Linked DNA regions of Lonchura striata. The protein of the gene in region 1 binds, or shares a complex with, the protein of each later gene. Links are inferred from orthologs where the notes say so. Each region holds a gene or a part of one and is shown in the gene's direction. Other genes may lie near its edges.

What was found.
Region 2: TAF3 (region 1) and TAF13 share a complex: the UniProt entries of both Homo sapiens proteins name them as parts of the TFIID basal transcription factor complex. The link is inferred for Lonchura striata from reciprocal best matches to the Homo sapiens genes TAF3 and TAF13.

Annotation. Positions count from the first base shown.
Region 1 is NC_134607.1:68,961,732-68,977,210, reverse strand, and holds the start of TAF3 (transcription initiation factor TFIID subunit 3), read left to right. Parts: upstream 1-7,198; 5' UTR 7,199-7,265; coding exon 7,266-7,431; intron 7,432-15,479. Other genes in the region: ATP5F1C (ATP synthase F(1) complex subunit gamma, mitochondrial), read left to right, coding at 1-40, 398-602, 1,027-1,170, 1,564-1,628, 2,095-2,250, 3,195-3,291, 4,104-4,110. UniProt on the Homo sapiens protein: The TFIID basal transcription factor complex plays a major role in the initiation of RNA polymerase II (Pol II)-dependent transcription.
Region 2 is NC_134604.1:23,951,148-23,966,111, forward strand, and holds TAF13 (transcription initiation factor TFIID subunit 13), read left to right. Parts: upstream 1-9,164; 5' UTR 9,165-9,205; coding exon 9,206-9,232; intron 9,233-9,350; coding exon 9,351-9,429; intron 9,430-9,885; coding exon 9,886-9,983; intron 9,984-10,813; coding exon 10,814-10,984; 3' UTR 10,985-11,452; downstream 11,453-14,964. Other genes in the region: GTPBP8 (GTP-binding protein 8), read left to right, coding at 3,040-3,333, 3,640-3,738, 3,903-4,019, 4,215-4,345, 4,700-4,799, 5,211-5,329, 5,773-5,857; RMP64 (nucleolus and neural progenitor protein), read right to left, coding at 12,077-12,473, 12,933-13,183, 13,622-13,683, 14,338-14,699. UniProt on the Homo sapiens protein: The TFIID basal transcription factor complex plays a major role in the initiation of RNA polymerase II (Pol II)-dependent transcription.

The DNA of each region.
Region 1 (15,479 bases):
GAGCTGAAGCCTGCGAGGGTCTATGGAACAGGAGCTCTGTGTGAGAGAAAGATCTTGCACTTAGTGATGGGGGATTAGAAGAGGAGGTTTTCATAGTGGTGATAAAATGCCAAGGCTTTTTAACCTTCCAGTAGTCTGTTTCCAAAAGAATTTGCACAGTGAACTTCACTGAGTGACATCTGATCAGAGCTGTGACTGGCTCTGAATTGTTTATTCCTCACTTCTGGTCTGACCGTGTGCAAACTTGGAACAATTGCAAAGGAGATAAAATTAATCTGGCTGAGATCTGGAGCCCCTTTGGTATTGGTTTTAGTTAGAATATTTCAGAGCATTTTTTATTACTTACTAGCTTTTTTGGCACCCTTGAAAAATGTTATGATCTTTTTTTTTTTTTCAGCTCTGTATGAGAAAGCAGAAATAAAGCCACCTGAGGACAAGAAGAAGCACCTCCTTATTGGTGTGTCCTCTGACCGAGGCCTGTGTGGTGCTATCCATACATCTATTGCTAAAACCTTGAAGAATGAAATTACCAACCTCTCAAATGCAGGGAAGGAGGTTATGGTGGTTGGAGTAGGTGACAAGATCAGAGGCCTGCTTCAAAGGTAAAAAGGATGGGGTCCAAAAGTTTAGTTTAGAGTTTTGTTGTCTCTGGTAGAAATTTCAAGACTGTAGGATTGTGTGCCATTGGCAGGAAATTGCATTTAAGGGAACTGTGTTAAATTCAAGTTCCTGTAAAAAAAAAACTGCAAATACTTTAAAAGTGGTTTTGATAATGTCACAATTTGAGAGACTGCTGCACAGCACTATTATATTCTTGAAATAAAAGCTGGCAACTGATGCTGTTACACATGTGTGTATTGTGAAGCTATTGTAGTTTAACTAAAGGCAAAGTTTCTTTCAGACTCTAATTCAGTAAAATGTTTCATTCTGAACACTCCTAAATTACAAACAGTTATTTCTAGTAAGTCTTGCTGCTCGTGTTTTAGAGCATCCACTTGGTTCTAGCACAGTTTTGTGTTGCTGCAGGACACATGGCAACTATTTCCTGCTGACATTCAAAGAGGTGGGACGGAGACCTCCAAGCTTTGGAGATGCTTCAGCCATTGCTTTAGAGCTGTTAAACTCTGGGTATGAATTTGATGAAGGCTCTGTCATCTACAATCGGTTCAGGTAAGGTTGAACTAAACTTCACTGGAAAAATACTTGGCAGAATGCTTCCAAGAGTATATTGGCCTGATGAAGTTGTATGAAAACTGAAAGGGAATATGAAAGGGAATATATGGCATATTCACTTCTTGATTTTGTTGTGTGTCAAGAACTGGGCTGTTTTTTCTAGTAGCTGTGGTTAGAACTCCCTTTTTGACTTGTGTGTAGTGAACACTGTAACATTTACAGTCAGCACATCATTATATCCATGTGGTATCCAAGATCTTTTCATCAGTGTTATCACAAAACCTTGTGGCATTGCAAAGCCAGAAGTTGTCTATTCTAATTTGATTTGAACCATTCTGTTTAGAGTCAGTTCAGTTGAACTGAAGAACCTGTTTTGCTCTTTTTGTACAGGTCTGTCATCTCTTACAAGACTGATGAGAAACCAATCTTCTCCTTTGAAACGGTGGCTGGCTCTGGTAAGTAGGGAGCTAGAAACCACCAGTTACATGCAGTGATAAATCACAAGAAAAGTACTCTGAAAATGGGACTATGGTATTTTAAAACATCTTATTATGGTGCTTGTATCATAGTTTAACAGATAGTTTTGTCTTGGCCAAGATCAGTCCAAGGCTGGCTCAGAAAGGTGCTCTCCGAGAATGTTTCTGCAGCATTGTAAGGGAAAGTTAAACATAATATGGTAATAATGTATTTTGCTTTGGTCTGACTTTCCTAATATTAAATTGAACTAAAACACATAAAACAGTTAACAGAATTATAAGTAGCATAGAGATTCTGAAGGTACACATAATATGTTCAGGGAGTCTCTCTGTACTGCCTTAAGTACTGAAACAGTCCAGACAAGTAATCTTCTCTGTGTCATTGTATTTTGCTGGAAGTAGCAAATCTTGGATGTGTCTAAGTTTGCTCCTCCATGGTTTGCAGAAAGCCTAAGTATCTATGATGATCTTGATGCTGACGTGCTGAGAAACTACCAGGAGTTCACGCTAGCAAACATTCTGTACTACTCCCTGAAAGAATCCACCACCAGCGAGCAGAGCGCCAGGATGACTGCCATGGACAACGCTAGCAAGAATGCTTGTAAGCTGCTCCCTGGCTTCTCCAGGACTTCAGTTGTTCAGCAACAAAGTGTTGACCTCCCTTTCTGTAATCCTTTCCTTCAAAAATCAGCTATTTCCTGTCTTAATTCCACTTTGAGTGGCTTTTTTTAGCCAGTACAATTGAGATTCTGTTTCAAATGTGAGCTGTATGTAGACTCTGGAAAGAGGGATTGCTGTTGAGAAACAAGCCTAGGACTGGAAGTGAAATAACAGATTATTTAAAAGGCATATGAAATACTAAACTAATCTTACAATGGCTAAATATTCTCTATGCTCCTCTCATGTGGCTGCTCTGAGAATTTCCTGAATTCTTATAAATCTTTACTTACTCATTCAGGAAATATAATTAGTGCAGTGCAATTTAAAGGTGGGGGAACTTAAACAGTAGTTCAATACCACCTGTCATGGAGCAAGTAGAGAATATATGAGTATTCCTTGGAAGGATACTGGTGATTGAAACTGATGTGATGTGCAATTGGGCTGCCTGCAATAGTGGGCATGGCTCTGATGACCAACTTGAGAGAAAGAGGTGATACCTGAAATAATTGAGAAAAAAATAATGGAGAAAAATCTCTCCTTTTGCCACAACTTGAAGGAAATAACAATGCAGTTAATTGACAGTGAAATCTAATTCCAAAGCTAATGATGCCTGCTTGTGTTATGTTACAATAAGCAATGTCAGGCCTGGTATTTACAAGTCTGCCAGCTGTTCTGCAGATGTTTGACTGACAAGCTTAGTTCTCAAGCTGGTTTATAGATGGTTTCTTGGTAATATTACCTGCAGGGAAAAAATGTCAGGTGCACTAAACCTCTTGTGTCTTGTAAACCACTGCAAATAACTTGGATATTGTGCCCATAGAGCTTCTCTGTATCTGCATTTATACACTCATTTTGTGTTTAAACTCCAATCTGGCCTTATTCCAGCCGAGATGATTGACAAGCTGACCTTGACGTTCAACCGCACCCGCCAGGCCGTCATCACCAAGGAGCTCATTGAGATCATCTCTGGTGCTGCTGCTCTGTGAGTATCTGTATGAACGTGCAGTCAGAGCTGTTGCAGTCATGTGCTCTTGTGTGCCAGGGTAACAGGCAAACTTTGGGATTGTAGGTCCTAAAACCAGAGGGAAGGCAGTCCCTGGCATGGCTCCCAAGCTTTTCAGCTTGCGCAGTTCTACTAACCAGAGCGAAGTTGGCAGTTTTTTCTGATCAAATGCAGTTTAAAAGCTGGTAAAATAGATCTTCAGCCTCACCAGGCATCCTTGCCTGGAGAGGTGAGGATTTTCCTTCTGGCCTTTGGTGGATTTCCCCCCTCTTCCTTTTTACCTGGACATTTCCTGCTTTGCCTGGTCAAATAACCCAGTAGTGTTGAGTGGGGGAGAGCAAATGATGTGACTGAAATGCTTTTGGATAAATCAGGTGTTCAGAAGCTGAGAGTTTGGGTCTGGGTTTACAAAGAGGGAATTTCCGGAATCTTTTATATGGAATATGTATTTTACTTGAAATTTAGTATTTTGCTTGTTTGCCTGAGGATGAGGCTTTGTGCAGGTGTGTGCTGCAGGTTACAAATGTGTGGGGTTAGACCACAATTTGTAACTGCATGTAGCTCACATGTACTACTGTAACAGTTAAAAATTTGTGCTCTGTACGGAAATACATGTGTTCATATCCTGTGTATTTACAGAATGCCTGGAATATGTACTTTATATTATTTTGGTGCTGTATTGTGCTCCTCACAATACATTTGTGGTCATAAATCCGTGCAGTTTTGCCTGAATTTGCATGAGTTGCTTCCTAACCTGCTTGTTTTGTTTTTTCTCATAATACCATAACCAGGGATTAATCGGAAAAAGCGGTTCAGCCAAATCCAAGAGGTAAAGTTATGTCATAGAAGTTGGATTGTGTTTTAAAATTAATTAACACAGAAAATACAAAGTTAGATGAGGAAGACAGAATTAAATGGTCTTGGTCAGACAGAAGCTTTCCTTCCTAAAGAGCTGTGAAATTGGACATTTTTAGTTTGAATTTGTCCAAAGAGTTCTTATTTTTCAGTAATTTTAAGGAAAATATGTCCATGGTAGCATAATCCCAGATGAGTTATAATTTTCTGTGGTTTTTTTTTCTCTATTGTTGGATTCATTTGCAATTGCTGTTTGAATATTTGTATAGTGGTCTGACTTTATGCAATTACTTAAAGGTGTCTGTATGTCAGACATACATAAAGAGGTTTCTGTATTAACATGAACATATTCAAAATCTAAAATGTAAGGAAAATTTCAAAATTTAAAATGTAAGAAAAAAATAGATGTGATGAATCGTTGGGGGGTGGTGAGGAATATTAATGAAGTATTCAAATTGGGGAAAATAGCAGTTTAAAATAAATAAATAGATGAAAGGATTTTGATTTGTTTCAATTTTATTTACAGGTGAAGAGGAGCTCTTCTGAGCATATGTGGTTTAGCCTGCCTGTGTCTGTGTTAACAAGACTGCTCTGTTATCTTGTGAAGAAGTGGAAAAGCCCCAGAAATTTGTAAATTCGTACAATAAACGACCTCCGTGAAACAGATCCTTTTGCTTGTCTGTGGAGCAAATGCTCTTGGAGTCTAAATATCTGGGTTGGGCTTGGGTGTGCTTTGAAACTTTGTTTCTTAGAAGTCTGTGCTCTATACTTTTAGTTTATATGCCATGTGAAACATGTAAGTGGATGTTTCTTTTGAAGAGTGGAAGAGATTTTCTAACTTCACCCTGTCTTTGAAAATGATCTACTTTGAGAGGTACATTGTATTGTGGGCTCAAGGAGGAGACTGGAATAACCTCTGCATCACACAGCTAGAACACTGATATCTCTTATTTGAATTTTGTATTGCTACTGTTAGCAGATGTTGAATTTTTAAAATTAAGTGATGTGATTGGTTGAGTCACTACAGAGGTTATTTAGAATGCACAGTTTATTGCATGGTCAGTGTGTGTATAGAAATGTAAATGTTGGAGGACTGGGGCACCTCTCCTGAGGAGAGTTTGTTCTCAAACCCTGAGAGTTTTCAGCCTGGAGAAGGTCCCAGGGAGACCTTTCAGCATCTGAAGGGGCTCCAGGGGAGCTGGAAAGCGACTTTGGATAAGGACATGGAGCAGCAGGATGAGGGGCAATGGCTTTAAACTGATGGAGGGCAGGGATAGATTGGATGTTGGGAAGAAATTCTCTACTGTGAAGGGGGTGAGGTCCTGGCACTCGTTGCCCAGAGAAGCTCATACTGGTCCCAGTATGGAGCTCTGAGGGCACCACCCTCAGGACCTTGAGCTGTTAACCAAACCAGGAGCTTCAGGACTTTGTTCGGGGTCCAGGTCCTGCTCTTCAGGCAGCAGATGTGAGATGTGTGACTGACACAACAGACTACTCATAAACTAAAGTGCTAATTTATGAACTAATTAGGGTTTCATACTGGAGTAATAATATAGTATAATAGAGTTCTGTTATTTACAGTTCTGTCCTCCATGCTCTTGATTAGTTACACACAACTACTGAGTTACAGTTTAGCTCTTGTGTATCTCCACAGGTACCACTGAGTAAGAGCTGCGCTGCTCCTTCTTGCACCTCCTACACCACTCAGTTACTGTAAATTTTGTTTCTGGATCCTTTTTGCCACCGGAGTTCCATCCTTTTCCCTACTTGTTTTTTTTTCCCCAATTAAACAAGTCATCGAGAAACAGTTTTTTCCTTATTGCTGCCAATTTGGTGTTCCATCCAGCTGGAAAGAAAAAAAAAGGAGAAAAATAACCTCCCTGGGCAGCCTGTTCCAGGGAGAAAAATAACCTTCCTGGGCAGCCTGTTCCAGTGCTCTGCCACCCTCTGCGTAATGAAGTTCTTCCTCCTGAGGAGGTGAAACTCCTTGTGATTTGGTTTTCTTATGGTCATTGCTCCTTATCCTGTCACTGCTCATCACTTAGAAAAGTCTGACACCATCCTTTTGACAGCTCTCTGAGATATTTATTTAGAGATATTGAGATTATTTATAGAGACCATAGAATCACAGGATGGTTCGGGTTGGAGGGGACCTTAAAGATCACCTTGTTGCACCCGCTGTGATGGGCAGGGACACTTCACTATCCCACCAGACTTTCAATACCACCACGAATGAGACATCCCCAGCTTCTCTGGCTACGCTGTGCCAGTGCTTCATCACCCCCACAGTGCAGAATTTCTTCCCCATATCCCATCAAAAACTCCTTCTCAGTTCGAAGCCATTGTAAACAGCCTTGTCGCATCCTTCCTGTACGATCCCTTGGGGCAGTGGGGGACATTCAGCGGCGCTGCGATACCGAGAGTGGCCCGTGTACCGTGTCCCGCTGCGGTACCGACGCTGACACATGTACCGTGTCCCGCTGAGGTACCGACAGTGGCAGATTTACCGTGTCCCGCTGCGGTACCGACTGTGGCACACGTACCGTGTCCCGCTGCGATACTGACACTGATACATGTACTGTGTCCCGCTGCGGTACTGACAGTGACCCGTGTTCCGTGTCCCGCTGCGGTACCGACAGTGACACATGTACCGTGTCCCGCTGCGGTACCGACAGCGGCACATTTACCGTGTCCCGCTGCGGTACCGACAGTGGCCCGTGTACCGTGTCCCGCTGCGGTACCGACAGTGACACGTGTACCGTGTCCCGCTGCGGTACCGACAGTGACACATGTACCGTGTCCCGCTGCGGTACCGACAGCGGCACATTTACCGTGTCCCGCTGCGGTACCGACAGTGACCCGTGTTCCGTGTCCCGCTGCGGTACCGACAGTGGCCCGTGTTCCGTGTCCGACCCCGGCGTGTCCCGCGCGCTGCGGGCCGCGGCCTCGGTTGCTGCGGGCGGCGTTCCCGCGCTCCGCCCCGCTCGATGCGCTCGGCACTGGAGCGGCGCTGCCTGGCGGGGGCGGGGCGGCGCCAAGATGGCGGCGGCGGCGGCGGGCGGTGCGTGAGAGCTCCCGCGGCCCCCGGCCCCGGCGGGATGTGCGAGACCTACTCCCGCTGGCTGCTGCGGGTGTCGGTGGCGCAGATCTGCCAGGCCCTCGGCTGGGACTCCGTGCAGGTCTCGGCCTGCGACCTGCTCACCGACGTGCTGCAGCGGTACCTGCAGGGGCTGGGCCGGGGCTGCCACCGCTACTGCGAGCTCTGTGAGTGTGGGCTGGGGCTGGGCCGGGGGGATGCGGCTGGACGCGGTCCTCGGAGGCCTCAGTGGGTGGCCCTGCTTGAGCAGGGTCCGGGCTGAGTGAGCTCCGTGAGCCCTGCCGGGCTCGGCCATCCTGCCAAGGAAACAGCGCTGGACACTGGCGGGCCAGGGCAGGAGCACGGGGTGCGGGGCTTGGGCAGGGCAGGAGGGCACAGGGAGGTGGTGTGGGCAATGCCGGGGCTTGGGCAGGGCAGGAGGGCACAGGAGGTGGGTTTGGGCAGCATTGGGGTCTGGGGGACAGGGCAGGAGGATACAGGGAGGTGCTGTGGGGCACTGCTGGGGCTTGGGCAGGGCAGGAGGGCACAGGGAGGTGGTGTGGGGCACTGCTGGGGTCTGGGGTCAGGGCAGGAAGGCACGGAGAGGTGGGATTTTGGTACTGCTGGGGTCTGGGGGACAGGGCAGGAGGGCACAGGGTGGTGAGTTTGGGCAGGGGTCTGGGGGATAAGACAGACAGAAGGGCACAGGAGGTGGGTTTGGGCAAGCCAAGGGTCTGGGGGATAGGACAGAAGGGTACAGGGAGGTGAGATTGGGCAGGGGTCTGGGGTACAGGGCAGAAGGGCACAGGAGGTGGGTTTGGGCAGCATTGGGGTCTGGGGACTGGGCAGGAGGGCACAGGAGGTGGGTTTGGGCAGCACTGGGGGCCCTGGTTGTGGGGAAAGGCTGTGGGGTAGCATTGTGGAGGTGTGGGGAGGGCTGCTGGAAGCTGCTGCTTGTTGAAGAGTGCCAGGAGCTGGGGATGCTTGGCAGAGGAGGGTCATGGAGGTGTGGTCATTTGGGCAGGGCAGAAGAGTGCGGGGAGGTGGGATTTGGGCAGTGCTGGGGTCTTTGGGTCAGTGAGTGGGTTTATGGAAGATCAGCCCATGGGCTGGGGGCTCTGGGGAAGGGGAGCTGGGCCATGGGGCAGTGCACAGGACTGGGAGGATGGGGAGGGAAGGCATAGGGTCAGTGCTGAAGCAAGGGGGTCCTGGTGCCACGGAGGACTGTGGGGCAGTGGGTTTGGGTATGGGTGAGGAGTTGGGACTGTGGGGCTGGGGTTGGAGGAAAGGAGGCTCTGTGGCAGTGGGTCTGGAATGTGGGAACACGGGGGTGCTGTCCCACTCTCTCTGGCTACAGCGTGCAGGGTGCTGGGAAGGGGGAGAGGGGAGTTTTGGCTCTATTGCTGGGATGTTCTGAATCTGGGAAGAGATTGAACTGGAAGGAGAAGAGGCAGCCAGCCTCTTTTCCTGGTGGGATGTATACATGGGAGGATTTGGTGCTGTGTTGTCGTGGCTCATCTTTGGGTCATCTTTTGTGCCTGAGGGGGCTGTAGGGGCCCACTGCAGGTGGAGATGTGTGTGGGGTTTCCTATTCTGGCCCAAGGGGAAGTGCTGAGGATGGAGGGTGGAAGGCTTGGACTCCCTCCTGCATGGGGAGGGAGTGGTGTGCCTGGAAGTCCTGTTGCTGGGGTGCTCTGGGAATGTTTGTGTACAGGGGGGAAGCAGTGGTACTGTGGGACTGGGGAATGTGTATGGGGAATGTGGGAAGGCAAGGATGCCCTAATGTGTTTTGGGGGAAGTGGAGCTGTAGTGCACAGGATGTGGGAGTGTGGCATGGCTGCACATGGGAATTGTGGAGTGCAGAAAGGGTGGATTTGGGCTGGGGATAATTTAGTGCACATGGCATGAGGTATGGGTGTCCTTGTGTGGAGGCAGAGGAAGAGATTTGGCTGGATGTGTGGGGGACTGGAGTTAGCCAGCTCTGCCATGGAGGTGGTACAGAGGGAGCTGGAAGTGATGGTGGAGGGCAGTGGAAGTGATGCCCAAGGCCTCACTGGATTTGAGGTGAGGTTGTGTTGGGCTGGGAGCATGGAAGGGCTGAGTTTACAGGAAGTGGGAGAAGAGAAAGAGGAGAAGCCTGGGAATCAGTGCCAAGGACTGCTGGCTGGATCACACACAGGAGTGTGGAATGGGATTGGGAAGGGAGCAGCACTGTTGGGTCTGGGTGTATGGTAGAGGATGCAGTGTTGTGTCCCTGCAGAGCCTGCAGTGGAGCTACTGAGGGGTTGGATGTCCTGCTGTACCTGCAGAACATGGGGGGTTGGAGGGTGGGATGTCCAGTTGCTTGCTTGGTCAGTCATGCTGCCAGTGGGGCTGAGAGGGTGGTAGGGGTGTGCTGGGTTTGGGTGGGTCAGGAAGGGGTGGGGAGGTGGCAATCTGCAGGGAGAGGGAGGCTGTCAGGGTCACTGCCAGCTCTAAACACAGGAAATGTGGGGAATGAGGAGCAAGGCTCAGGCTGTGGGTGTGGTGAGAGGGTCATGGGTCTGTGTGTGGAGGCCTTTGCTGCCCTCCATGTGGGACAGGGAGGGTGTCATGTGGCAGAGATTCGTATGCAGAGATGGGGTTGCCAGTGCTCCTGCTGCATCTGTGAGAATTAGGAAGGAGATGAAGGGGGATCTCCATAGCAGAGGGACTTTGGGGAGCAGGTGTACTCCGGAGAGGTGGGTGTAGGCTGTATGCCTGGGAAAACAGGGCTGCTTGTGCCTCCTGTGCCAGGAGGGACATGTTCCCCTTTCCTCTGGCATGCTGGAGAGCTGTGGCATTGTAGGCAGCTGCTGCTCCATGAGTGATGGGGAAATCCTGGAGGGCCCCTGGGGCAGAGGTCAGAGCAGTTGGGTCTGGCAGGGGTTGGAGCTGGGATGGATAATTGATTGCCTGAAGTCCAGGGTAGGGAGAAGGTGACTCACTGGGGGTGGATTTGAGGGCTACTGTAGCCACCACCAGTTCAGAGAATTTGCTGGGACCTGCAGGAGGTTGCTGGAGAGGTAACGGGAGTGGGAGCCCTGAAATGCACCTCTGGGAATATTTGCCAGTACTTCTGTTCTGTGGGAACTGTGCTAATGAGGTGTCAGTCGCAGGTGAGAGGAGCATCAGAGGCATGTTGCTGTCAGCTGGTGCTGGATTGGATGCAGCATTAAGATCCAAGGAACTGTGAGGTCTGGGTGTGTTGGATTCCTCTGCAGGGGTGAATCTGGAGAGTGTGCAGAGCTGGGAGGGGCACTGTGAGTGGCTTGGTTAGGAGAGGAGCAGCCACAGCCTGGAAGTGCTGCTGCTGGAGGTTGTGCTCCTTCTCTGAAGAAGGGAAGTTCTCACTGCTGCAGGGATCCCCCATGAAGCAAAGTGATCAGCTGAGTGTATCTGGTCCTGGCTCTGCTTCATCATTTCAGGAATAATTGAGATCAAGTCTGACAGTGCCAGTGTAACTAAGCTTAGGAACAACTGTGTGCTGCAGACTGGATTTCTCAGGTTGAATAGGTTTACTTGTACAACTTTCCCCAAGTTTGAGAGCAAGTTAGTCTAGAAATGGGACTGTGCAATATTAACCCCTATATCCCAGCAGCACAAGTGCAGCTCTGAAGTTTGTATCCCTGTCCACACAGAAATTATCTTTAAAGCGATTAAAGGAGACAACAGAGAGGGTTTAGGAGTGGAGTTATGGGGTGAAAAAGATGCTCACCTAGGTTTGGCCAGAGCTGTCCTTTCATAGGGTTGTTACAAATTCTCTGGAAGATGCTTGTGGTGCAGTGTTTCTAAGACTGGGAGGAAAAGACATAAAGATGATGCAATTTTTTGGTGCTGAGGATTGGAGTTTGTAGAGCTCAGCTATACCTTTCTTGCTTTGTGTTTGCTTACTGAAAGTGGGGAAAGGCATTTTTCCACTCTATGAATGGGGAAGGAAGCACCACAAGTATCACAGTCTTCTTGTTTGGTGTTTTTTTGTAATTTTTTTCTTTGAGGAGAAGGGGAATGTGCTCTGTTTGTGCCTGTGATGCACTATTTTTTGTACAACGTCTCTTAAAACAATCCCTGTATTTCTTTCTTTAAAAAGGTTTGTAAAAGGACATCTTAATACTGAGCTGACATCTCCCTGCAATTTCAGAATTGTTTCCTTTTGCTCCTGAAATAAGTTACTGTACAAACCCAGCTCTGGATGAATGAGCTTAATTCTGCCATGGTTTTGCATAAGTAGAATTAATTAAATTCCAATTGTAGCATCTTCATTGTCAGGGCGTTATCTCGGAGTCAGACCAGTGGGGTTTGAGTTAGCAGGGCTGTCAGCTGAGGGACATAATCTTTGTGTTCCAAACTGAATGGATTTACTCTGACGTAGCTGAGACACCGTGGTATCGCTGTGAAAAGCCTGTCATCCCTGCTCACGTGTCCTCTCACTTGCAGAAGAAAATGATGGCTCTCCCAGCTGGGTTAGATCTTTGTTCCAGCTGTTACATCCCATTAGGAGAGCTACATTCAAGATTTTCATTACTTTTCTGCTGTTGTTTCTTTGCATTTGCAGGAGCTGTAGTTGATGGGAGCTTCTGTGGCTGCAAAGAGAAGGCAAAAGGATTTGCAAAGCGGGTTTGAGATGTTTTTGGTGCCGTGAAATGCTTCTGAATGCTGTGTTGGGGGCTGGAGGAGAGGCTGAACTTACAGGGAGAAAATCAGGGTTTTCTTCTTGAAGTACACCGTATTATGCTGCTCAAATTTGTGGAAAGCTTGTCAAAGGAACACCATTCAATATGCTGTGAGCTGTTTTATCCTAAAATTTAAACTAAATATTTGAAAACCAGTGTTGGAGTATGTAATTAAGGTATCAGGCTACAAAACAAACTGATGTGGAGTGGTTTCTGAGAGCAGAGTTCTGCGTTGTTGGTTTTAAGCAGAGGTGAAAAGGGAAAGGCTCCCTGTTAGGTGCCACTTTGTTTTGCAGTCCTGTTTCACGTGGTTTGATAGAGGGGTGACAGAGCTGGTGCTTTGAGTTACCTGCTCTGGATTGTATGGGTTGGGTTTTTTTATGCTGGGGAGCTGTCCATGAGGACAGATCAGAATCTGCTTTGTTTGCCATGAATTTAGCTGATGTAGCTTGAGTAATGTGTTATAGACACACAGAATATGTCATGTTTTACCTCTTAACACATCCAGTGAGGGAGTTCAGTTTCCAGTCTATTTATGTGAGTGGTGCTCTATTATGGAGTTCATGGGAGGGATGAGGAGGGGACCTGTTCACACCTCCTAAAGTCTCCTTTTTGTGATACATTTCTCTAAAAAACAGTCAGATAGAAGCTACTTAACTTTATCACATCTGGGCATATTTCAACTGGACAAATTTAGATTACCTGCTGCTACAACTAGAAGTGTAACAAACTGGATAATTAACTTTTTGAATTTAGAAGTGGATTTTCCTTTGCTTTCCTTCAATTTTCAGTGTTGAGTTTATATACTGTGATTTTTTTTTCCTCCTGAAATTTGCTAACAGTTAGGAAATAAAATTTCAAAGTTGGTATTTAGTTTCATATTGTTTGACTACTTTTTTTAAGATTTTTTTTAATGCAAACAAAGAATTGTAGAATATCTCAAGTTGGAAGGAACCCACATGGATCATTGAGTCCAAGTCCCTATTCCTTGCAGGACTACATATTAATTATATATACATAGAAAAATATTAATGACTATATTGAAATTGGTATTATTAATACAGCTGAATTTTTTTTGAAAGGCAGGTTCTGATCTGGGGAGCACAGTATTATAACTGGAAGGAAAAATTGTTGATATTGGAAAATGTTTTCCAAGGCAGAGCTGGCTCCAAAATTGCTCCAAGGTCTGCACAGTCTCCTCTAAACTTCATTATGACAAAAGGAGAATGCAAACAGCAGACCAATATTTTCATTGGTAATTACCACAGAGGAGAGAATTCACCTGGCATCAGCCAATTTTTTATTTCTTTATAATGTCAGATTTACCTTGTATGTTTTCTTTGGTTTTGTTCTTTTTTTAATTACTTCACTCTTACCACTAAACAGTAATAATCTCTATCAAAGGATTAGACTGTTGGTGATCAGTTTAAATGAGATGATTCTCTCTGCTGGCCCTTGAATTTTGTAACAAGGATCTATCCTGGGCCTGTAACATTCATTATAAGTGTGCATTTTATGTCCTGGTAACAAATATTGATGCTTTTAAGCTAATTAACTTCTTACTGGCTACTAATATAAAGAAGGACAATGTGGGTTTTTTTTGCTTGACGTTTCTGAAGTTACTGGGAGGAGGAGCACCAATAGCAAGAAGATGCTTTTGCCTGACTGGTATTGGACCCTTTTTTCCCCACTTAAGTGCATTTAAGTAAGGCATCTAAATTTATTAAATAACCTATTGTGCATGATTATGACTTTGCTGGATAGAAGCTGTGTTGTCTCTATGAAACAGTTATCCTGGAGTAATTTTGTGTGACATGCTGGAGCACAAGGAGTCTGTGATAGAGCCTGTAATTAAAATACCAAGGAGCTATACCTAATAATTTGCTGGTTAAAATAAAATCTAAAAAAAAAAAAAATCTCTTTTACAGCAGCTGTGAGGGAGAATGCTGAGCTATTTATAACACATGTGCATGTTGCATGGGTGGTGACTCATTAATTTTTCTCAGTATATTTATTACAGAATTGTAGTTGCTTCCCTTAAGAAACCTGGCATGAAACTAAAAGCTCTTATGTTCTGTACTTACTCACCTGTTAAATTTTCACTCATTCATACGAACTTTGGGCCAGGAAGGAGGAGATGGAGGGGGTGAATTTGACAAAAGGAAATCATTTATTTCTGAGACTAAATTTAAGGCAAGACAGTTCCCTAACTCCCACAGAACCCCTCACAGTGCCTTTGGGTGACATGAGCACTGGCCAGCTTGTTTGCTGGAGGAATTATTGTGACTTTTACAAAAATAACTCAGCTTTAGGAGCTTCTAAAAATTCCTTTTCCCCACATCCCAAACCCTTGTTTGTAGGGGAGTTTAGTGCTCAATCCTTGTTCTGTTTGATTTGGTTTTCCTTGTGGATGGGTTGGTTCATCTGCAGGTGATGCTGAGCGGTGGGGCTGAGGGCTGGATAACTTTCCACACAAATACTCTGCTCTGCCTGGATTCTCTTTGCCCATCACCGACTTTGCCAGTCACTTCAGTTTTTTGGCATGCAGATTCCTCCTCACCTGGTGCTCCTTCTCATGCCCAGGGAAGCTGAGAGTATCTTAGCTGCATGGGCATTCCCACAGGTTTCTGGTGAGCTCTTTTGAGACCAAATGGTCTTAATTTAGCTCTGCTGCTGGCACAGCTTTACTACTTTTGGGGCACAGTTCCCATTCAGGGAGATAGTGCAGCTTAAAATCTTGTGAGAAAGGTGTTTTTGTAGTTCACTGTTCATAGGGGATAAGGAGGAGAGTTGTAACTTGCTGGATAAACTATTTGCACCTCCTTCCTTCTCATTCCCTGAACAATGATAGTATTTAAAGTGTTGTGGTATAAAGAACAGCAAGAGACTGGAAACCAAAGCTCTGAAGTGTCTGTGATCTGGCACTGACTTGCTGTGTGACATTAGATTAATTATTTCACTGGGAGGCTTCAGCATCTGAATTTTTAAACTGAGGATAGCACAGATACATGAAGAATATTGAGATAAGTTCAATATCCACAGATTAAACTTCTTTTCTTGGCATCATTTGCTCACAGAAGAAAAGACTAAATGAAACACCAGGAGAGAGTATGTTGCATGTTTGTCAGCATTCCGTTTCATGTGCCTGGCTTCTGCTATTTTACTGATTTTTTTATTAAGCCAGAGAAAGAAGGGAAATGCTAAACTGTTGAAATAAAAGTGTAAAGTCTTTATTTGATTAATAACTTGGAAATACATTTAAAGCAATTTTGTGCTGTGATAATATCCAGTTGATAACTGGTTTGATTTTAAATGCAGATATGAATATAAACCTGAAAGTTTTTTCAAACCCTTTTATCACTGAGGACATTCTCTTGAAAAGAAGGGTTAACAGTTCCATCCTTTCATCCTTCTGACAGTTGCAGGTTTAAACATTATTTTTAGCTTTCAATCGAACTTTAAACTTGGCATTGTCTCTTTGGAGGCAAATGTCAAAGCTCTGGGAAAATTGAATCTTCTTTGGGGTTTTTTTGGTCACCTTTTGA
Region 2 (14,964 bases), on another chromosome or scaffold:
ATGCCTGATGCTTGGCAATAGCATGCACAACAAAATGCAGAGTCTTTCAGGGGAGATACAAAGCAGGCTTAAATGTTTTTAATTTACCATCTCTGTCCACAGTAATCTGCCATCTTCCATCTCCATATGGTCTGCCCCAGAGAACCTAGGCTGCAGTTTGGCCCAAGAAAAAAAAACAAAAACAACAACTTTTGTTGAAATGTACAGTTCCAGTCTCCAGGTTTTAGATGTGGTTTTACTGAATGCTCTCTGCTAAAATTAGAAGTATTCAAAAGGTCCTATACCACCTTAATTTTTTTCCTGCTACCTATGTAGTTACATTAAAAAAAGACTTAATTAGTGGCTGGGACCCTGGCCAGTGTACTGGGCATCTCTGTTCTCATCATCACACCTGCAGATGTGGTGTTAAATGAATAGTTCTGTTTCTCTGCTGCCTTCCCTCATGCATCTGACCAGCTGTTCTGGGTGTAATGTGCTGCAGAACATGTGCCTGGCAGTGGTAACTATTGCAGGGTACTTTGAAGCAGGCAAGTCTGCTGCCTGCAGCTGTGAGCTGTGTGGGACTCTGAGGCAAAAGTAGCTGAAAGCACTTGTTCTGCTTCGTGTGTCACAATTTGGCATAGAAATGAGGAAATCTGGCTGCTGGTGTGGTTATAAACATGTCTGTCTCCAGCCAGTGATTTTTTTCTGTTAATAGATTCACCACAGATTTCAATTAAATTAAGTTGCTGCTTCCGTACCCCAAAAAAGGAATAGCAGTGTTCCTGAAGTAATTCTTGAAAGTTTAGCCTTTCTTTTTCCTGCATTTATAAGTATTTGTGCCATAGGCAGCGGCAGGAGAGAGGTCTGTCCTGTATAAATAAAAGTCATCTGTAGATTTTTTTGGGAGCACTCTTCTAAGTATGCATGTAGCAGCCAGTGATTGTTGTCTGTCCTGAGCTACACACATTTGAGCTCTGTCTTACAGTGAAACAAAGCAGGTTTTAAGAGGACTTAATTTACAGGACTGAGATAGAATACAGGGTTTTTTTCCCTAGGTTTACCCTATTAACCTCTAACTGTTAAGCACTTCCACTGATCATAAATTTGAGAAACAGCTTATGGATTTCAGTATAAGTTTGTCTTACTACAAAATATTCAAAGCTGTCTCTGAGAAACATGTATCTTATTGTATGCTCTTTTCTTAAGGGATCAAAGTTCTCTCCCTATAGCTTTGTAACTGAGCTCAATACAAAGAAAGTAGGATATAGCCTCTGTTATCTTCTAACGGTCCTTCCTGGCCTTGAATCTATTCATTGTAACAATTAAACCATCCAGACTTCCAGGCCTTTAAACAGAGAGCTGTTTAAAGAAAAAAAGGGGTCTCTGTCTCAAAGGAAAGGCAGTGTTCCGCAGGATGTCCAGGCTGGCCTGGGTGTAAGGTTGAACATCAGAATATTTTCATATATTTACTTTTATAAAGATAATGATGACATTTACTTTCATTTGGTGGTGTTAAAATTGCAGTGCTTTGAAGCTGAAATGTTTCAAGGACATACATTTATTTCTGTGGTTTTAAAGCCCTATGAATTGTAGTCCTGAAGGAGAACAATGTAAAAAGCTTTATGTGTATTTTTTGATAGGAAAACAGCACTCTGATACATATCAATTAACTAGTAAAATTCAGGGGTCTTCTTACTATAGAGTGAACACCAGTGCCAACAGTTTTGTGGTTGCTTTAGGTCTATTTTATTCAAAATAGAATTGACCTCTACATAGTTCTCCTTGAAGAAATGTTTTTTTTGGGGTTTTTTTGGGGTTTTTTTTCTCCGAAAAATTTTCTTCACTTATCAGAAGAGCGCTTGGAAAACTGCATTTTCTGGGAGGTGGATAGTGCTATAGGACAGGGCTGCTTTGTCCTACTACCTGGCCAAACAGGGCATCATCAGCACACTGAGCCCTCAGCAGCTCCACAGTGTGGCTGGCCTTGGCCTGAGAACAGACGTAAGACACGGAGCTGAAAACATGATACAAAACTGGGAGGAGCTGTTGACTCGCTCAAAGGCAGACGCCCTGCAGAGAGACCACGATAAATTAAAGGACTGGGCAATCACCAACCCTATCAAGTTCAATAAGGGAAAGGGCCAGATTCTGTATCTGGATGGGGCAATCGTAGATGTATGGACAGACTGGGGAATGAGATGCTGGAAAGCAACACCATGGAAAGGGATGTGGGGGTCCTGGTTGATGGAAAGTTGAAGCTGAGCCAGCAGTGCCCTGGAGCCAGGAGGGCCAACCCTGTCCTGGGGCATCAGGCCCAGCATCACAGCCGGGCAGGGGAGGGGATTGTCCCCTCTGCTCTGAGCTGGGGCCTCACCTGGAGTATTGTGTATAGTTCTGGTCACAAGATAAAAAGGGTATAAAGCTGTTAGAGAGCGTCCAAAGTGGAGCAATGAGGATGGAGAAGGGCCTCAGAAGGGCTGAGGTCACTTGGGCTGTTCAGCCTGGAGGAGACTGAGGACAGACATCACTGTAGTTCATCCTTGTGAGGGTGAAAGGAGCGGCAGACACTGAACTCTTCTCTGTGGTGACCAATGACAGGACCCGAGGGAATGGCCTGAAGCTGGGTCAGGGGAGGTTTAGGTTGGATATCAGGAAAAGGTTCTTCCCCAGAGGATGATTGGACACTGGAACAGGCTCCCCAGGGAAGTGGTCACAGCACCAAGCCTGACAGAGCTCAGGAAGTGTTTGGACAACGCTCTCAGGCACATGGTGCGATTTGGGAATGGTGCTGTGCAGGGCCAGAAGTTGGACTTGATGATTCTTATGTGTCCCTTCCAACTCAGCACATTCTGTGATTCTACAAGCAGCCGGGCCTGGGCAGCACCTCCGGCTCCCGGGAGCCGATGCGGACGGCGAACGCACGCCCTGTACGGGGCCCTGACAGCCCTCGGCGGGGCGGGGGCAGCTGCGGCACCGACCCACAGTCGCGCTCCGCCCCGCCCGCCGTCCCGCCCGCCGCCTTCCGGGGCGGGCTGGGTCCCGCCTGCAGCCGCTGGGATGCTGCTGGCCCGGGCTGGGGGTGCTGCGGGCTGGGCCACGCCGCCGCTGGCCGCCCTTTCCCAGGTGCTGCGGCTGGAGCGGAGCCGCCGCACCGCGATCGTGTTCCCGTTGCAGAAGCTGGAGCGGTACCTGGCGCCCGGCACCGACACGGCGCCGTTCCGCCTCTTCCAGCCCGGGCTGGCCGCCCTGCAGCGCTCCGAGGCGCTCTTCAGGTCCGACCGCGGGCACCCCATCGATTACGTGAGCTCCGCCGTGCGCATGGACCATGCCCCGCCGCCGGCCCTGCCTGAGGTCAGGCGAGCACTGCTCCGCGCCTCTGGCCGGGACCTTGCCGGGGCAGCGCCTTCCTCCCTCCCGGGCCACCCCGACCTGGGCTGAGCTGCGCTGCGGGGATAAAGGGGTGATGGAGTGGTTGTGCGGCTGTCAGAGCGCTGCGCAGTATGTGGGGCACTTACTGCTGTTTTTTTAACAAGTCGTTTAGTTGTCGTTGTTCCCCGTTGTGCAACTCGGCAGCCTGACATGTCCGTGGCTGGGAAGTGACCAGGACTGGCTGCAGCGAGAGGTGTAGATGTGCCCTCTCTGCCTCTCCCCCTGCAGGTGTGCTTCATCGGCCGAAGCAACGTGGGGAAATCATCTTTAATCCGGGCCTTGTTTTCACTGGCTCCAGAAGTGGAAGTTAGAGTGTCAAAAACTCCGGTGAGTGACTTTTTTAACTTCCCTCCCCCTGGGTCTTAGGCTGGTACCAGTCCAGAGGATAGGGCTGAGAAGGGTGGGAGAGAAGAAGCTCTTGAGTAGCCAGAAAAGAAGGAAAGTGCCAGCTCTGGTGGCCATCCTCATGGCTGGCACTGGCCTTGCTCTAGCCCAGGAAGAGGCAGAAGGAGCCCAGCCTGGCTCTTCAGGCAGACAACAGAGCTGCACAACTTGAGCAGTGTGCTGTAGAGACCTTTGAGAAGAACCAAGCTCAGCGACCCATTAAGGTATTTTTAGTCCATTTTATTATTAGAGCCACGTAGGATTGCTGCACAGGTAGGAGACCGGGCAGTTTAAAGCATTCTCAGGGGGAAGGGATCTGGTATAAAGATACTTTGCAGAGCACCTCCTAGTGTATTGCTTAAAGCAGCTTTTTTAGAAACCACCTCTGTGCTTTCATCTTGCCTAAATCCTCTCTTCAGGGCCACACCAAGAAGATTAATTTCTTCAAAGTAGGGAAGTACTTTACTCTGGTGGATATGCCAGGATATGGCTATCGCTCCCCGCAGGACTTTGTTGAGATGGTGGAGGCCTATCTGCAGGAACGGCACAAGTAAGGGACCTACCTGTACATCAGCACAGGGCAAGCCAGACAGACACCCCTATACCCCTATACAGTGTCATGTAATGAGGGGAGAAAATGCAGAGGGGTAGCTGCTTCCATCCACTAGTTCTGACATCATTTCCCTGGAATCTTCTGCAGTGTCATTCATTTATGCTCAGACAGATCAAAACAGCAGGAAAGATTGAGATGCTGTTCCATGCTGACCCTCAGTTTCCATGCATGACTTTTCTTGGCTCTTCCTATCCCCAAATCCCACGTTACTTATTTTTGCTTATGAATGTGGAAGTAGCAGAGCAGGCATGAAATAATGGTGACAATTACTATTGCTTGTATTTCTGGCAGCTTGAAGAGAACTTTCCTATTAGTTGATGGTGTAGTTGGACTTCAGAAAACAGATCACATTGCAGTAGAGATGCTGGAAGAGTTTGGGATTCCTTATGTGGTAGGTAATGCTTCATTCTTGGGTTGGTTATAAGGTACAGGTAATCTAGAAAGGTGTGTACCCTCCACCTGAGCTTAGGCAACTTGTCCTACCTAAGCAGTAACCCTATATTGTTAATAAAATAGGTTTATAATGTGTTGAGGGAGACAAATAGGACCTAAGAGGGGGTTTTATATGGTTTATTAAATATATTTTTTTTCAGTGCTCAGCTTGAGCAGCTGGAAAAGGTGCACTCCTTATGCAAGCCGTAGTTTTGGTGAACTGTGTTAGACTATTTTTTCCCCTAGATATGACCTTTCAGAGCTTTCAGACTGCTTTGTAAGACCGTTTAGGACTCTTAGAGATGTTCCAGATTAACAGCAAAATCATCTTACTTTCTTCTTTGAATCCTCTTTTTCTGGATCCATGCAGGTGGTGTTAACAAAAATTGATCGAGCTTCCAGGGGATTATTGTTAAAGAACGTACTAGAGATCCAGGAGTTCGTAAAGAAGAGCACTCAGGGATGCTTTCCTCAGCTGTTCCTGGTCAGGTAAAGCTCCTCTCCACTGCTGCTGTTGCCTTTCTGGTAATGAGTTCAGTAGGGCAAGATACCTAAAACAAGTCTGTCTGCTCTAGAAGCAGCACCTCTCTGTGCCCCAAGGATAGAAGGTGGGCTGCTGATGGGGAAATGTCCTTTTTCTTCTTTCCCCCTTCTCTGCAAGTGAGTGAAGTTTGTTTCCAGGTGCTTCTTCATTTGACCATTCTCAAAGCAGAGCAGCAGTTCCTGTGCAGCATGGTAGCAGGCCTTCCCATTTTATTTGGAGTTCTGGTAACAGTAAGAGCTGTAATTGTTGGATTACATAGCCAAAGTGCAGGCTTTTCCCAGGGTGTACTGTGGGACATGTAACTGAGCACAGCCAGTGGCTATTTGCCTTTATTACTCCAAGACACGTCAGTATGTGGCACTGAACATCTATGACTCTTTTTCTACAGCTCTGTGGAGTTTTCGGGGGTTCACTTGCTCAGGTGTTTTGTAGCCCATGTTACTGGAAACCTGCCTATTGTAGAGGCCAGCTGAAAAGACCTGCTGATCTGCTTGGCTCATCAGGAACAAGAGGTACCAAAAACAGGTCTCGGTTTTTGTTGCAAATAACCCAAGTTACTATTATGGTATTTTTGAATAAATTAGTATTTATATAGCTAATTTTTTTCTTTATTAAGTTCATCAGTTCAGGAAGTTTGCAGTATGAATTAATCCAAGTTACTATAAAACTGTTTCATAAAGCCTACGTGATTGTGCCAAGGAGAAAAAAAGTAGGTAACCTCCATAGAGAATGGAAGTTTTAATACACCATTTCCTCTCCCTACACTGAAATGTTAAAAAATCTACTACTCCATGCCTTACCTCTGCTATATTTAAGATACTAGATACAGTCTAGTAATATTAATAAAGAGGCATTTAATCTAGGAAAGAAAAACTACAGCCCTAACATTAAGCAAGCCTAGTTGAACTGAATGATACACAGAGGCTTACTTACTTCTCTCAGCTGGGATTAGGATTAGGATAGCAGGGACCAAAAACTACCTCCTCTGCAGCCTACCTGCTCTGAGGCCATGCATTGTGGAAATAGCCAACCTGTTGTCTGTGAAAGTCTGTTTAACGTCTTGTATATTGTACTTTTGTAAGTCCTCTGTGTCCATTAGGTGCAGCAGGATGGCATGCCTTGCTTGCAGACATTGAATTGTCCCTGTTCCACAAGGATGAAGGAAAGAACACATCTTCTATGGGATCTGCTTTTCCATGAGTGTTGACTTGAAACAGAGTGGAATAAAAGACTGACATCTAGAGGAACCCTGTCCTGCACACTTGTCATGAGTCAGTGCTGCATTTACCTTCTGTTTTGAGATCCAGCATGAATTTCTGCAGCACCACTTGGATGAATTGCCAGATCTGAGGCACAACATCCATGATCTGTAGTGGCTCTACTCTGGCAGCTGAAGCACAGCACTGTATGCTTTAGGGGAACTCTGTTCCACAGCAGCTAAGAGCACCTGAAGCTGTCCAGTTAAAAGGCAGAACTGGACAAAACGACAGCCATAAATAGCAGCAGTCATACAGGAGAACTTAATCTGAAGCTATGAAGTGCCTGTGTCAAACCCTGGCACTCAATCTTTGTCAGGTCAAATGTGGTTATGCAGTTGTCAGTTATTTGCATTAAGTGTTTAAACCTCAAAAAGGAAAGTTCTTTTCTAAACCACTCTGATAGTGCAAAAGGACTAGAAATACCAGTTTCATTATGCAATTTCTTGTAACACACTAGTTATGAGACAAGATCTGTTTTCAGCATACATGTAAGAGGAGAATATGAGGAATACAGTAAATATGGCTCGCTAGCTTCTGCGATTAAACCTGTAATTCTGTTAATATTTTATCTCTAATCCCAAAATGCTGCAGGGCAAACCAGCCCAAGGGATGCATGATCCTAGAAATGCAGTAGTAGCTATATAGATGGAACAGGTGAAAGTGAACACTTCAGGAAAGGCCTTTTTGTAAATCCTTTAAACCAGGATCTTCCAAAAACATCGGCCTTGTCAAGGCTGTAATTTTCAGGGCCTCAGCCTTGACTGAAGGGCTTCTGAAAAGAACCCTGAATATGTAAAAAAGTGCAGTTCTGGTTTTAGTCCCTCTTCAGAACAAAACCCCTTACATTTCATTACAGTGCTAGGAAGTCTTTTACTAACCACTTAAATACATTAAATACGTCCAGTTAATCCATTTTTATAAACAAGCTGGATGTGTGTGCATGGAACATTAGGTACCATCTTCTCCAGAAGAACCAACTTTACCTCTGGACACATCATGGTTTTATTCGGAAGCGCTTCAGATACTGGAATAACTCCTGCATTTTGCTCTTAGCTATTTGCAGGAGAGAACACTAACAGTTTGATTCTTGAGTGTGACAGTGCCCCTGTGGCAAAACAATAAATAAAATCAAGTCCTCCCCCTAAACAGTAAAATTTATTTCAGTGCATTTGTGGGAACAGGGATTGGGTACACAGGTGCCTTGACACACTACTGGAGGTTTTTTTGCCAGGTTCTTAAGGTACCGGCTGAGTTGCAGAGTGAGGAGCTGCACTTTCTCAGGCCAGAGACACAAAAGATCTTCCTTTCTTTCCCCCTCATTAATGAATGGTGGGGTGGGCTTGGCAGCATGCTGATACAGTAGAGCTCATTTCAGTTTTAAATTCAAATGTCTTTAGTTGTTTGCAGTGCATAAGCTTCACTCAAAGCTCCTGTCATTACCTGGTAAAGCTTTGCCTCTTCTACAGCTGTTACTTACAGAAATCATGTTGAGTATTAGCTTCCATGGAAAAGGATTTCATCTTGTGCGTCTTCCCTGGTCCTTCAGCAGTACTTTGTCCATTTTCTTCCTCTACCATGTCTTGGGTCTGGTCTGGTTTTGTCTGTTGCCATAACTGACACTACAAAGGCAGTATTTTTGCAATAGTGTCCAAGATGAGAACATTGCAATCTGGACAGGTGCACTAGTAGATCAGTAAAAACTGGTTGAATAATCGAGCACAGAGCATAGGAGCCGGTGGCTCATACTCCAGTCGCATGGCAGTTAAAAGTGGAACACGGCAAGGATCCATTCTGGAAGGTGTCCATTTTAGCATTTTTATGAGTAATCTGGAGTAGGTGCATTGCTGGATTCACCTACTTGCAAGATTAAAGCTAATGTGCCTAGGGCACCAGAGTGAGGGGAACAGTGGGCATGCTCAAGGGCAGGGCTGGAGCAAAGGGGCTGACAGCAACTGTATGAAATACAACAGGACTGGAGCAGCTCCCCTACAAAGACAAGCGCCTTTGGGCACTGTCCAGAAGGTGGAAACCTCACGGCAACCTTCCAGTATGTGAAGGGAGCCTAAAGAGAAGCTAGACGGGGCCCATCAGGAACTGTGATAGGACAAGGGGACAAACCGGAAGAGGAGGCTTATCTTGGACAACTTGGTCTCGTGGGAGGTGTCCGTGTCCACGGCAGAGGGGTTGGGATTAGATGATTTTTAAGGGCCATTATTCCAAATCTTTTACATTCCATGATTCTGTGAACATGGGCAAGTGTGCCTCGCTGAAGGGAAGGAGAAGCCCCTGCCAACCGAACAAACCGACTGTGCAAAGCCACCCTTTCTGACCTGGTGGCTGACCCTCTGTGGAGCAGGGGGGTTAGCAGACACTCCCGAGCTCTCTTTCGAGCCCCGCTATCCCGATCTAGCCACCCGCCACTGAGTGTCGTGGCCAGGTTGGGGCAGCCGCGCCCGCGGCCGCGCGGGGCCGACGCCCGCCCGGGCAGGCCCGGCGGCGCCTCCCGGCGGGGCCGCGGGGCGGGGCCGCGCTGCCGCAGCGGTTCCGGGCCGCCGGGCGGCCATGGCGGATGAGGAGGAGGACGTGCCGGTGAGTGCGGAGGGCTGCCCTCCCGGGATCCGCGGCCAGCCGCGGGAGGAGAGGCGGCGGGAAGGGCCGGGGCCGGACGGGCGCTGACCGCGGCCTCCCCTGCGCTGTGCCCCTGTAGTTCGAAGAGGACGCGGAGGACGCCGGCGGGGGCCTGGACGGTGGGCAGGGCAGGAGGAAGCGGCTGTTCTCCAAAGAGCGTAAGTCGGGCCGGGCCATTCAGCTGAAACCCCGAGCTGACAGCTATGGGGTCCCAAAACTCATTTCTTAGCAAAACAGCGGCTTTCATAATATGCCTTGGCTGCAATTGCAGAAATCTGCCATGTAGACCCTCCCCCTCAAAAATACTGCTAGTGCATCCTCTAGACATAGCTGTGCCCAAAGTTAGCTGCACTGTTACTGTGCAGTGCTTTGCAGCCTAAATGAGAATTCAGAGAGCCTGTCCTCAGACATTATTTTCTGTATGTACAGCTCCTGTACCTACAGGAGGGCTTTTGTTGTCTTATGTTTATTTCCTGTATGTTTCCTCAAGATTTGTCCTGCCTGACAGATGAGAGTGCCGTCCTGGTGCAGGAATGTGCAGGCTGGTGAGCTCTAACTAGATGTGTGCAGCACTGAATGGATGAAAGCCTCACACTGAGTGTTTCTTTGTGCAGTAAGGTGCATGATGTATGGATTTGGGGATGACCAGAACCCTTACACAGAATCAGTGGACATTCTTGAGGACCTGGTAATAGAGTTTATCACTGAAATGGTAAGTCAACTCTAGATGGCACAGTCAAAACATCCTCACCAAACTTTGCCTTTTTTGAAGGTTAATACCTCCGACTCAAATATTGCATTATTCCAGGCCCCAAACTCATGGCATTAATAGGAGAAACTTAAACTTGGATTTTGTTTTCCCAAGATTAAAGTAAAATTTATGCATCTTGCTCCATGTGGATTTAGAACACTGAAGGCTTTAAGCAGCATTTAGATTAATATTGTAGGAGGGGAGGTACCCATCTGACTTTGGTGTTCACTGTATGTGCAGCTGACAGAAGACAAGGCTCAGATTTGAAAGTCAGGTTTTGTTTGCCCAGTGCCTGTACATGGATAGGAACTTAGCTCTGCCCTCCAAAATGAATGCATTCTTGGGCCTGAGCCCATTTCTCTTCCAGACCTAAATGCTGTTTCTAAGTATCCAAACATATCCCTTTGTTTTGAAAGGTTGGTCTTTCCTATCTTATCAAAATGTTCTGCACTGGCCTCTTATACAGTTACTTCATACTGCTTCTAAGTTGTGCCTAATTTTCAGCCATTCTGCAGGCTGAATGTCCTATGTGTAATCTGTCCTTAGTTTTGATACCATTACCTGATACATTTGTAGTGGTTATGTTTGGGGTGTAACTGACAGGCAGCTCGGGACATTAGACTAAGTCCATGGTTTACTGGGAAGTTCTCTTGTGACTAGGATGATGGTGCCCAGAATCAGCAATTGCTTACTCTTTTATTATAAAATGTCAAGGAATAAAGTGGAATTGAGACCTTAAAAAAGCACCATGGCAAAGGAATACTGTTGCCTTTTTTTTTCTCCTCTGACAGACACACAAGGCCATGTCCATCGGGCGCCAGGGTCGGGTACAGGTTGAGGACATCGTCTTTCTAATACGCAAGGACCCCCGGAAGTTTGCCAGAGTTAAGGACCTCCTAACTATGAATGAAGAACTGAAACGAGCCAGAAAGGCTTTTGATGAAGCAAACTATGGGTCTTGATTCTGTGCACAAGCTGTACTGGGGCATTATTTGGGCACCTGCTGCCAAGTAAGAATTGAAGATTGCGCGTGTTGTTTGGAAGGGTTTTTTAGGATGGAGGTCACTGTTGGGATGTCTACCCTCACTCCCAGCCTTTTCTGAGAAGTATTCAAGCAGCTGAAATGTTACGTGACTGTATGTGGTATATTTAGGTATTTTTATACCATTTGATGAAATGAGAAAAAGCTCTAAAAGTTCCTGCAGTGGCAGGAGTCTGTTTCAGGTAGGCCTGTGTTTTATCAGATGGCTCAAGGGTTGATAGTTCATGATTTTCTAAAATTGTTTAAGTTGTCACTGGGTATTCCTGTGATAGGAAACCCTGAAAATGGATCTTGGTTATCTGTATAAAGACCTTAAACTCAAACTACTATCAAAGTTGTGCTCTTTGCTCTGTACATGCTTTTTGAATAAAACATATGTTTGTGCCCATGTTTTGTAACTAAATATACATTGATCAGTTCATACCATGTGGGTAATACAGGCCACAGCTGTGCTTTTCCCTACTTCTGGAACAGCTTGGGGAGGTAGGTTCAGTTAACTCCTGATTTCAGAGCAAGCGTAACAAATGCTGTAACAGCAATAATACTGCATATCAAGGCTGTCCCCTCTACAAGCAGCACAGAAGGAAGGGTGTAAGGTTTGGAAATGTGTTGGCAAGTCTTTTGTCCGAAGCAGCAGTGAGTGATCAGCTCTGCAGCCTTTCTTCCATGGATGGGAATTATCTGCACTGTGGATTTGACAGCAGCATTTGACACGTGGTTAGGCAATAGAGAGGGGACATTGAGTAAAGGTAACAAAGTCAGTGTTCCTGGACAAGGGTAGGTAAAAGGATGGTGACTATTCCTTTATTTGGAACACCCTTAAAAATATAAAAATCAGCCACTAAAAAAAACCTGGTTTACAAAAACATAATAAAATGGTTGTTACTTTCTTAACAGAATTCACAATGTGAGTTACTGAGACACCATTAGTGTTCAGAGGAGTTTACTTCAAAAAACAAAATGAAACAAAACACTAGAATTACTTGACCCCTTTCCTCCTTCAAGTCCAGGTTCAGACACCTATTGCTGCAAAAATAGAATCAATATCTGTGTTCTCAGCAGCTTCTTTCCACACCGAGCCAGGGCTTCCTTCCAGCAGCAGCCCCTTGGGGGTCCCCATTGTGCTTAGTCTGGCATGTCCTGTATCAGTGCTGGAATGTTCTTCCTGACTTGGAGACCCATCTTGGTAAGCTGGGAGGATGAGTGATGCACTGTTCTCACACACTCCAAAAGGCTCCAGAGACTTTTGCCCACCAGTCTTTGGAGCTGTCTTCAAGAGTGCAGATGATTTGATCCTCCTTCGGCACAGCCGTGCCCTGAGGCGCTGCCTTGGCCACTGCCTGTGTTGTGATCCATACAGGAGGTATTTACAGACAGATGTTTTGATACAGCGCAGCTTTTTCTTCAAGCTTAAGGGAGCAAAGTGTACAAAACAGAACTTTATCAGCTACTGAAGTGTTACTACATTCAGAATTTGGAGAGATTTCATAGTTACTCATTTCTATCATTTTCCTTATCATACCAGAGAAACAGAACAGCACCTTGTACAATAGTAGCCAAGGTAGTTTTAACAGAGACAATCCTTGCCTCGTACATTTGTTACCATAAAACATGCAGATCATTTAAGCTGCATTTTCATCCTCCCTCCTAAGTACCATACATTTGTCAGCCTTTTAAATCTTTTTTAAATCACAAGTGAATTAAACTAAACAGAATGCCCATGGTGAGAGCACCCAGTAACCGGAAATAGTGACCCTGAGTTTTAAAAGAATGGCTTAGACCACTGTGTTTCACTATACTATAGCAAAATACATAATATTAAAATACAAAGTATTAGACTCAGAAATCCCACACCCATACAAAAATACCTGCATCCTTGAGCCTCCACATGGTGTAGCCGGTTGCTTTTCAACAACTTGTTACGCAGAAAATAAGCTTCTGATTTGAATTTGTTGTTTTTGCACCACAGAATAGCTTTTCTGAGTGCCTCTGACAGTTCCCCAAATGATGCAGCTGTTTTGACCATCTGTACAAGAGATCCAGCATGCTGTGATTTTGCTATCTGAGATGAAAGTGGTGATGACTTTGCTTTAAAAGGTGTTGATGTAATGCTTAGACCCTGAAAGAAACAGTAACAGAAGGAGTGTTTTAAAAAGATCATGTGTCTGATCCTTTTTTCTGGAATTTTTGTGAGAACATTCCTTATTTTCTAGTTAGAAAAGGGAAGTGCAATCTTGTTTCATGGAATACAAAAAGAAAAGGCAGATATTTAGAATTTGTATTCCTGTCTACTACTGACTTGGTCTCTGGTCATTTCACTTGACAAACAAACAAATGGCCAAATTCCTAAGCAGAAGTAAGTAGTGATTGATTTCTGTGCAAAGTGTCCACACTAGCCTGAGTTGTTAGACAAGCAAAAATAAGGCAGGAAAAGGGGACATTTTCAATCAGGGATATCATGTTTTAAGTGTTAGTCTTTAAAATACAAAAAAACCTACTGTGTAAAAAAAAAAAAACCAAACCACCAACCTAACATGTAAAACAATACCATACAAACCTCTTGTGTTGGATGTCTGGATGGCCTAAGCAAGCTCTTCACATCAAACGCTGGGTGCTTCCCTACAGAGAGAGAAGAGATTTCCCATTACAACACTGAGATAGTTTTATTTCTTTGCACAGAGATGCCACAGAGCTCTCAGCAGGCTCCCACCTGTACTCAACATTTCCAAGCAAACTCAAGGGGACTACACTCGTGCATTGCAGCTGGCAAGGAACGAAGAGCATGCGGAGGTTTACAGATGGCTGCAAAGGAGAACTTAATGGATAAAAGGTTCACACAAGCATGTAGATGGCTGCAGTCACTGGCCATAGCCCTGCATGCAAAAGAAGATTTGGGCACAGTTCAGAACCAGCAAGTGCAGGATACTTGCATCCTGTACCTTACAGCCTTACCTACTCTTGTATGGACAGCAGACAGCTTCTGAGGTATGCAAAAGCAGGAAAGCACAAATAACTATTTTCAGGACCTATATACTGCATTCATTACCTGCTTCTCTCCAGGCTGCATCCTGTTTGAAACAACCCCCAAAAATCATGATACTAACATTATCCACAGCTTTATAAAGGCAAGGGCACATGCAGCATTCTCTTCTTCCAAAGACAGGGAGTTTGTACTAGAACCACACTGTGGGTAGAAGTGCTTGGTCCTGTTGGACAGAAGTTGCAGACAGTCTCTGAGATGTCAGAAACAATTACACTGGCACAAGGCTTTACCTCTCCTGGCTGTGGGCACCACAACTGTCTCTCCAACGTCCATGGGGCACAGGATGCTACGGTCTTCCATGGCACTTGTACAGGTCTCAGATTTTCTCTTTTTCCCAATCTTTGATACTGCCTCTGGCATTGCTGGGAAGAACTTCTTCATCCAGCTGGTAGATTTTTTTGTTGTAAGCATTTTAGCCTTTTGCTTCTTTGCCTCAGAAGATATGTTAACCCCAAGGAAGTCACTGATATCAGAAGGGAAGGTAAACCCCTTGATATAAGGGGTCTGTTGGGTCTCAGATACCAGATGAAGCATTGTTGACAAGGCACTGTACAGGGACACGAGGGTCTGCAATACACACCTGTACTGAATCCTGTAGACAGAGGACAAAAAGGAATGGAGTCTCCTCCAGCAAAACATGATGCTCACTGAACAACTACCTTCAACTCAACTGTTGTTTTCCCTGTTTCCACTCAGTACAAATTTACCTTTTTACACTCCATCACCCTGCTTTCCTTAAGTCTGAACTTCAAGGAACTGTTCCACACCAGAATACAGGAGTGACTTGTAAATTCCTGATCAAGAAGCCCCTCCGTTTCTGTAGAGTTTTGCTGAGTGTCACACTTGGGACCCATCAG